Linked DNA regions of Caenorhabditis elegans. The protein of the gene in region 1 interacts with the protein of each later gene in a biochemical or structural test. Each region holds a gene or a part of one and is shown on either strand. Other genes may lie near its edges. The genes, in order: npr-24 and nlp-62.

Region 1 (6,216 bases):
ATTCTTCGACACACATTCACAGGACTTTTTGCACTTTTGAATCGTGGCCACCGGAAATTGGTAATCAAACTGGACTTGAAAAACGGGAAGAGCCATGTGATGATGCTCCTTTTGTGAACTTTGTTTATAGACAGGAGGACAATGCAAGTTTCGATGATCATTTTCTGTCTGGAATTCAAAATTCTGGTAACTTTTCCCCGACAAACAGTCTTGTTTTGGTGAGCAGGTAAGCGGGGGGGGGGGGGGGGGGGGGTCGGCGCGGTGTCAAAACATATTGTCAGGTTACTTTCTGCCTCCTTTCTGCCTCCCATATCGTATTTCTCATTGCCCAATATTGTCTTGCTCCCAAACATCATTTTCCTACACTTTCGATTACATCTTTTCACATTTTTCTGAATTTTCTCAATGCTCTTGTATACACACATGTCTTAAAGTCCTCGTATCCGTTTTCAAAGGAAGTTCTTTTTTTGTTGTCTTCGGTTTATTTCGTTTCATTTTTTATTTGGTCAGCATTTTTTTATTCGAATCTAGTTTCATGATGATTCAGTGTTTCATATGAAGGGTTCTGATGCTCAATGAGCAATTTTGTTTTTATGACTCCTGAGCTTATGTCCAGGCTTAGACTTTAGCCTAGGCTTGTGTTTGAGTTCAGATTTCCGCCTAAGCAAAATCTTGAGCTTAAAATTGGACTTAGTCTTAGGCTTGCTCTTGATATTAAGCTCAGTTTTTTTCTCAATTTCAAGCTTTTACTTTAAAGAAATGTTTATGCTGATGCTTATGTTATGGATTTAGTCTAGTTACAGTTCTGGGTTTTTTCAAGCTCAAGCTCTGTCTTTCGCTCCGACATAGACCTCAAGTTAGGCATTGTTTGATGCTTGAGCTTTGTGATCCGACTTAAGCAAGGGATATGCTTAAGTTTTTTTCAGGAAAAGGCTTTATCTAAGGCTTTGCCTCGGCCTCTGATAGTTAAAGAAACCTTCAGAGCTTTATCAAAAATTTAACAATAATTTTGACTGGTGGTCATTCGGTCATCCACATCGTGGTTTTGCGGGAATACCTATATATTTTTAGTTATTGACAATTGCCGAAGTTGCAGACACTCAACATTTTCAAAAAAATAATTTTGCGACCTGTGTGGCAAAATCTGTCCCACAGGCCTAGTCTGCACCCACAGAGAAGGTTAAAGACCATATGTTACTCTCTAGATATCTTCGATGTCCTCGTATCCTTTTTCAGCGGAAGTTCTATTTTTTATTTGGCCAGCCCCCGCTTAGTTTCAAGACGATGTTCTTTTTCAAATCTTTGACATTTTTCTAAACTTTTTATTTGTTTGAACTTAAATCCCATTGAGAATTACTGCACTTTCAAGCTGTCTGCGTCATCTAGCCGTTCGGTACGGTTGATTGGGAAAAGTGTGGTGCTTTTTGAGAGAACACGCCTACTTTCTCATCTTCGCTTTTTGTCTTCTCACATCTTCTCATTTATCCGTTTTTCTTCTCACTGATTCGTTCTCATTTTATGCTACAAATATTCGTACTTTTTTTCGTGTTATTGAATTAGTCAAGAATTAAAAATGAGTGCTTTCAGGAACTGCGATGTCGCTTTTGATATAGAAATCCAGATGATGAACAACACCAACGAACAAAATTTCACGGAGGTCATCGATCCGGTAGGTCTACAGTATGTTTAGGAAACTACTGTGAAAGTGTGTTTAGGAAACTACTGTGAATGAACTAATTCTTCAAAAACTATCAAAATAATATGACTAAAAAGTACTCTTAACGTTGTACAACATTTGGATTTTGAGAAACCAGCAGAAATTTTAACAAATATCAGAAAATTACTTGCTTTTCATTCTTCTTTGCCAATAAACTCCTTCTGGGGGCATCTCAGCGATCTGAAACCACTGTGTTTTCATTATTTACTTGTTTCTAGTTTTAGTAGCTGAAAATCCATAGAAAACTTCACCGAGACACCAGTAAATGTTTTTAAAAGCAAATTCAGTAGTTTTCGAAAATGACGCCAATAGAAAGTCCGTCAAGTTAACCGATTTGTGGATTTTTTACAGTTAAATTAAAAAAAAAAACTAACTATGTCGGCTGCAAAATCAAACGCACGTTAAAAGGAATTCTATTTAAAACGGTTTAAATCACACCTTTTTTTGAAGAGTTTTAAGTTTTATTTGTACAATTGTGACTCAAACAGTGCTCAAATGAACGAATTTTCAGATTAAATTTCAAAAACTTTTTCAAAATTTCCGAAAAAAAAAATTATATACCACTTTTGTCACTTTGTCACCTATCCGCTTCAAATGTTACTCAATCAATCAAATAACGTGAAATAAACAACTAAATTGATCAACAAAATCTGAAGATTAAAAAAGTCACATTCAGACCGTAGTGGTATAGAAAAGTAAACGAAATTGACCGTAGTGGTATAGAAAAGTAACCGAAAAAGTAACCGAAAATAGATTTTTCATTGCTATCTTCCAATTTTCAGATCAAAACTGTTGCTCATCTTACATGGTGTCTGACCGCACTTATTGGCATTCCTGCCAATCTTTTTGTGCTGGCCGCTATTGTGTACTTCCGGTGAGTTTGACAGAGTATGTGAACAGGAAGCTAAAAGGAAACTCAAATATCCAATCGGAAATCAAATGTTTCGTATTTTGAATTGGGTAGCACTTAACGTTCTTCCCTGACAGGAGAGTAAATCAAAAATCATGATGAAACTTTTAGTGATATGAGAACAATATCTAACATCTACATATTCAACCTTGCCGTTGCGGATCTCCTCTTCCTCTGTGGCATTCCAGTGTCCCTATTTGCCCAGTCGTCTCATGATGGTTGGATATGGGGACCAATAATGTGTAAACTGTACATATCTGGAAATGCAGTATCGCAGTTTGCCTCTGCCGTCTTTATTGCAATACTCTCGTTCGACAGATATCTGGCGGTCTGTCGCCCGATTCAGTCGAAATCGTTCCGAACAACACAGGCGGCATTTGCATTGTCTGTGGCTGCATGGATAATGGTCATTCTGGAAATGACACCGTTGTTCCTGTTTGTCAAGCTGATCAAATCTTCTTCGGGTGAGTTCCATATTTCCGTTGATTCTTCTATTAAAATTGTCTAAAAATGGACAGATTAAGATCTGAATTTTCACTACATTTTTATGTATCTAGCATCTTTCGCTCCTAAAAAGTAGTTTTGGAAGAAATCATATTGTTATAAGCATTCTAGCATCATGTTATATTATTTTTGGAATGTTTTAAAAAGCTTTATCTATTTTTTGAGACCTATTTTTGCAAAAAGATTCCCTCAATGACTTAGAATTCCGTGAACTGATCTAAAAAAATTCGAAAAGTTCTTTGTTTTGTTTTTCCAAGGCGCAAAAGTGAGAGATATAAACTTTAAACATTCAAAACAATTAAAAATTTCTTGAGCTACAGTTGTTTCAAGAATGAAAATGTTTTCATTTCCGGAATATGTCTTGTTCCTTGATGTTCAACTCAGAACTGTTTTCAAAACTAAAATTAATGCAAAAAAAAAAAACACTTTTTTAAAATGCAAGTCATTTTAAATCTATGCATTCGTAGAAACAAAAACAAAAACACTTTAGAATTAGAAAATATATTTGGAAAAAAACGGCAAATTCGAAAAAGGCGGCTGAAAAGAAAAAAGAAAAAGTAAATGCATCAAATCAACTGAAATGTACGAAAGGACCGTATAAGTTACCGCAATTCGGTCTAAAACTTCAACAAATTTTTCAGCTGGCGAGGCCAGGGGAGGAAGCTGCATGCTATTTGTTGGAAACGTCACTGTACTCGAGTCAGCAACCGAAATGAATGAAACATTGCTTAATGAGATCGAGCAGAACATGCTGGCTTCTAGAAGGTACTTAGTCAATTCTTTTGAGATGTTAAACTTGAAATATTTCAGATTCTTCATCAGTTATACATTTGCCCTTTCGTATCTGATACCATTAGTTGCCGTCTGGTATTTTTATTTCAAAATAATATTGAAAATGTGTCAAAGAAAACGACAAATGCAAACTAAAAGAACGGCTACCAAGAAACGAACTACCAAGGTTTGCATTCAGAAATATCATAAAAATAGCACGAGTCTACCTTTGAAACTTCTGACTCTAGAAAAACATTGTTTTTTCTAGGTAACCATAATGGGGCTAGCCATTGTCATCTCCTACACCCACTGCTGGCTTCCGTTTTGGATTGTTCAATGGTCGATTGAAGCAAATCTATTCGAAAAGTAAGTCGGCCTCCTACATTGCGGAAGTCAACCAAAAAGTTCGCGTGACTTTCTAATGAAGTTCCGGAGTTCAAATTTCAAACCCGAGAGTTTTACTGCTCATTAGAAACTTTTGAATGGGGCAGGAAGGAGGGGTTGCAAAAAAACTACATACTAACAAGAGAGTTGAGTGGTTTTTGAAGTGAACTCTTCCGGGTTACGGTGGTCCTAAACTTACAATGTTCAGTCAGATAAAAATGAAACTAACAATAAAGGCAGGGGGAGGGGTGATAATTTACGAAAAAACATATGCTGACACAAACTTATTTGGACAAAAAACTTCTTCCATATTTGAAAGTTTAAAAGTTTTGCACTAAATGTCGGAACATCTTGTTGGTTTCTGGAGACGGCTGATTAAACTATATGTACAAACCAACACAGCGTTGGTTGCTTGTTTACGTTAACATGAAAACGTTTTCAACATAAGAATTACTTACGCAATAATTATTTTTTTCTAGAAGCAAGTACCTGCTTTTTTGCTGCACACACTTTGCATTTGCCCTTCAGTACATCAACTCTGCTGCGAACCCGTTCCTCTACGTTTTTCTCTCAGATTCTTTCCAGAAAAATGTAAGAATTTATTTCAGAAAATAACTAAAGTCCTCAATAAAAACGTGTTTTTAGATTCAAAAGCTATTACGAACTGCCAAACCGGATAAGCAGATCATGCTCAAAAACTCCACTGATCCGCAGGACACCAGTAAAATGCTAAACGTCACAAATAATCCGTTGTACTCATCAGCAACCAATTCTCATTACAGTAGCTGCTGAAGATGTCAGAGCCACAGTTTTATATTAGGGTTAACTTTTGGGTATACTTCTGGATCTTCTAATATGTGACACCTAGTCAGTTCCAATGCCATGACCTTGCATAGCCTGAATTGTAACCGGCAGTACCAAAATATTTCACAAGTATAAATTAAATCTCTTCACACAACGCATATAAACCTTGCATTCTTGTACATTGAACTTACTTGGAATATATCACTGGTCCCACTCTAATACACTGTTTATATAAAAAATATTGATTTTTGAAATGTACATTTTAATGTACATTATTTATTTTTGAAGAATTAATTGAATAAATTATTTTCGAATTAACTGATTTTGTAATATAAAGTGTCTCGCGAGGGAAATACGAATCTTTAAGAGTTTGGTACTGTGCCAAGTTTTGCGTTCTAAATTGCTTCAGGTTGTTAGTAAGCTATGCCACTTTAACTTAGAGCACAGGTGTATCGATTTTTTCAAAACACTTATAAAACATAGTTTGTACAATTGTAAAAATTGCACCAGAGATAAAACGAATTCTTGCAAAATCGCGAATATGTTGCTAGTTGCAACTGCCGAGTGCTGCGAGGAGTACAATATTGCTAAAATGTTGCAGCGAAACTCGTAATTTTTAAAATACATCTGAAATTTTGGAGACCAAACGTGTCTTACAATCGGCAACAAGATTTCTTGAGTAAAAAAATATAAAAACTTTTTCAAACTGTAAAATTTTCCAAAAATCGTTCAGAAAAAACTGGTGAACCAGGGCAGTAGTTTTTGGCTACCGGCAATGGGAGTTGCCCAACTTTGTGTAATTCATCGGCAATCGGATGCCCCATTGCTAATATTTTGTTGTTTGTGAAAATTTATTAACAGTAATTTCTTAAATTTACGGTGGCATTTTCGTAACAAAACCAGCAGCTGCGAGACCACAAAATTTTTTGTCAACCGGTAATTTGGTACATACAGGCCTCCTTTCTACTGAAAAGAAAAGCGAGAAGGAGACCTAGTTCAAAGTGCTCTTTGTCGCTAACTTTTTTTACAGTGAGCGAATTAGTATGCTGCTTTATTTGAATTAAAGTCACCGCATATTTTTACTGTTAACTATATATGTTTTAAATTCTAGTATATTAAATTTCAA
Region 2 (3,643 bases), on another chromosome or scaffold:
TTTTTCGTCCATTTCTGGAGAAGCAAAAGTCCGATTTCATTTTTCGGAGCGAAGGACGATTTTGAAGATGGACAGTGTTTTTTGAAAGATTTTTTAGGACATTGTACTCAAAGGAGTGATCATTTTTCAAAATTTCAAGTCGATACGTTGGATATGAAGAGTTTTATGAGCGAAATTGGATTTTTTCGAAAAACAGTCTGTAACTTGGCTGAACATAAAATATCAAAAATCTTGAAACTGATAAAACGTGGAGAAATATTTTTTACTCACTACTCAATAAAATTTTAATTTCTAAAATCCAATGGAAGTTTAGTTATGAAGGGTACAACAAAAGAGTTATCAAGATTTTTCGTGAATTTTTGAAAAATGGCTTTGACTCTGTGCAACTCTACAAATAGTTAGTGTATTAAAATAAAAACTGATGAAACAAGAAGGAAAAAATATTTTTGATCATTTTGTTAGTAGAACATTTGTTTTCTAGACGTGTGGACCAAATAACCGCTTAAACTCGCTAAACTGAATATCTTCAAACTGGAGTTTAAATCATGCCTTAATACTTTTGACACGATTTATTTTAGAATGAATGTGAGAGAAAGCAACGAGGAAGATATTTTAATTCATCAAAAATAAAACAAGTAGAGATCAAAATTTTGACGAGAAACAAATGTGGAGCACCAGATTTTGTGAGGAGTTGAACTAATAACATGTTATCGGATTGAAAAAACATCGATTCCTTTCAATTATCTCAACACGACGTTTCAGTAGATCAATTCCACGCTTTGGTCTGAAATTATAGTTAAATTATTAGAGTATTTGGTAACTTAGTATTAAATTATTACCTGTTATCTGCATTATCATCATCAACAGGTTGTGGAGCAAAATATCCTCTAGCTATGCTTTCCTGATTTATATCATCGTAGGATCGGAGAAACTGGAAAATGTAACTTTCAGAACCAAATAGTGATTTTATAATAATTCTGTTTCTTCTGTTTCAAACCGATATACTCGTGAATTATGATATTTAGTGAACAATTTTGTTGGATTTACCACTGCAAAAATAACGCAAGGCGCGCCGAGGAAACGCCGTGCGCCTTTAAAGTTTTGTTTCAAATTTTGCACGACACTAATAAGTGCAAAATTTAAGTGGGCTGAGCCGGGGATCGATCCCGGGACCTCTCGCACCCTAAGCGAGAATCATACCACTAGACCACTCAGCCACAACTTTTCGTCTTTTTATCAGACTGTCAGACTGATAAGGGTACTATTCGGGAGGTCTAAATAAATGTTTAACTAACCAAACTCCGAAGAGGAATCGCTGATGTGAAGCTGCAAAGAAAGGCGAAAAACAAGAGAAAAACGAAGAATTTCACCATTTTTTACCACTGTTTTACTGTAATTATGAAGAATTTTAGATAGGGAATTGAAAAAGGCAATAGGCATTCATTGAATAAGAAAGTTAAAAAAAAATGGTTAGCCCGAAACGAGTGGAGATTACTTATTATTATACATACGTTAAATATATGATGCGGCGGCTGCCAAAACACAGCAGCGGACACTTTGCGGGTGCAATGAAAATAAAAGGGGGAACTGGATGCGGGGATTTCCAAAAAAAAAACATATCAATAACTACTTTAGGGTTAAAATTATTACAAAATTTAGTTCTCCGAAATAAACTTAAATTTTTTTCGTCTTGAAACAATCTAATAAAACATTTGTATCGTCTTAAATTGTTCCATAATTTGCTGTAAAGAAACAAAGAAGATTTTAATTTTGTGAGAACCTGCAAATAATTTTGGAAGAAAATAGATTTGGCACACCTAAAATCAGATCAAATTTGTACAAAAATATTTGGAAAATATAACTATATAGGCTGCACCCAGTGGCGTGCATCAGAACGAAAAAGGGCCCAAGGAAAAAGTGAAGAAACACGAACATATAAAATATTACAATTTAGAAAATTATGAACCGTTTTTATTTTATTTTCTTCCCATCAAAACCCGCTGATCAGGGTAATTAATAAGAAGTTTTTGGTTTAAAAAATAATTTAAGAAAATGGGCGGCGCGAATACATCAGATCAAATTTCTGATCTGTTTTGTTTTCACTTTCATTAGAGCATTCAATTCCACTTTATATCTCAAATTGTACTAGGCTCCGCCCTTATATTTTTTGAATCCTAATAAAGTAGGTAGGCGTGGCTTAAAAGTATATGTGGAGATTTATATAATCTTGGTGGAAATTTGAAATTCGCTATGAAATTTGAAATTTGCAATTGGGATAAAAAAGAAATTTGAGCCAAAAAATTGGCTCAAAGGTCGTACGAATAGGGGAATGTAATTAGTATTTGTTGGAGGAGGAAGAGCTTCTCACGTTTAAAGAAATTCAAATGAAATTGAATACATACTTTCTTTTGGCCTAAATCTTTTTTGAGGACCATTAGTGGTGTAGAAGGAATATTCTGGGGGTGGAAGGAAAAGGGATTTATGACGTTTTTTCTTTGTCTTTTTTAGATTTCAAATTTGAGAAATGGCACTGTTGTTTCGTCATGCACTCGAATGATGTACCCACGGCGTTTTTGACAAATTTGAAGCGAGAAAATTTTCGGGAATTCGAGATTTGAAGTCCTAAAATAACTAGTTTTCTTTAAATAGAAATTAAAAAAGGTTTCATTTATTTCAACTGAGTTACTTGTACAGATATCCTCAACCTTCGGGGACGCCTTTTCCCCGCCTCATGACTTGGTAATTGGTAACGTCATTCTATATTTTAATGAAACTAGAGGGTAAACAGTAGTCGAAGTTTACCGTAATCTTTTTCAGAATGAAATAGAGAGCCTAAAATTCAGAACATCCTAACACAGAATGCCGGCAGAAGACAAAAGAAAACAATTAATCAACAAAAACATTTGGACTAAAAATTTGGAGAAATAAATCAAAAAAAAATCGTTCTACTTTAGATGTCACTCAATTGCTACTGCAAAAAAAGAATTTGGTACTGTAATAGTAACATATCTTTGTTCTCTCTTCCACTGCCACCCATCAATGATTACGAAAAATTGGTTGAAGAAACTTGTTATCAGTTATAAATAAATAGTTATAAAACATGCAGAACACGTGTACCCTACTCATTGTGAACCGGATGATCAATTATCATAAACTATATTTCTGTAGTAAACGGGAAATTCCCGTTTTCCGCAGACTATGGACGCACCATAATAAAACATATTGAGCTAAAATCCATACAGAATAACGTTTTCAATTGGGCATAATCGTTTCAAAATTCCTGTCAAAAAGTGGGATTTGGGAAGTGTAATCAGATAAAAATTAGCCAAATAACAAAAATAAAACAGATTTTAAATTAAAAATAAACAAAGAAAAACATGAATATCAAATTACAACACTTACTACTTTAGTGGAAAATAAATCGTATCAAATGGAATTTTATCTGAATTCGGAGAATTTCAAAAGTTCCGCGAATAGAAGAACAGGGTTAAACTTGACGTCAAGTGACGATCTTTTCGGGTGGTAGCCACAAAAAAAATGATGATACTATGATTAACCTGTGATATAAGTTCATTATCAGTAGCTAGTAGGCGCCTTAAAAGTGTGTAAAGTGTTGAGTCAACAGAAGACACATCCACAAGGT

What was found.
Region 2: the proteins of npr-24 (region 1) and nlp-62 interact in a test that uses a peptide from one of them, tested with the Caenorhabditis elegans proteins (one large-scale study listed by BioGRID).

Annotation. Positions count from the first base shown.
Region 1 is NC_003284.9:17,482,201-17,488,416, reverse strand, and holds npr-24 (G-protein coupled receptors family 1 profile domain-containing protein), read left to right. Parts: upstream 1-1,581; 5' UTR 1,582-1,621; coding exon 1,622-1,669; intron 1,670-2,499; coding exon 2,500-2,591; intron 2,592-2,738; coding exon 2,739-3,091; intron 3,092-3,772; coding exon 3,773-3,896; intron 3,897-3,941; coding exon 3,942-4,089; intron 4,090-4,170; coding exon 4,171-4,268; intron 4,269-4,765; coding exon 4,766-4,877; intron 4,878-4,931; coding exon 4,932-5,078; 3' UTR 5,079-5,409; downstream 5,410-6,216.
Region 2 is NC_003279.8:5,853,649-5,857,291, forward strand, and holds nlp-62 (Neuropeptide), read right to left. Parts: upstream 1,393-3,643; 5' UTR 1,374-1,392; coding exon 1,296-1,373; intron 1,218-1,295; exon of another isoform or gene 1,135-1,217; intron 932-1,134; coding exon 840-931; intron 785-839; coding exon 697-784; 3' UTR 551-696; downstream 1-550.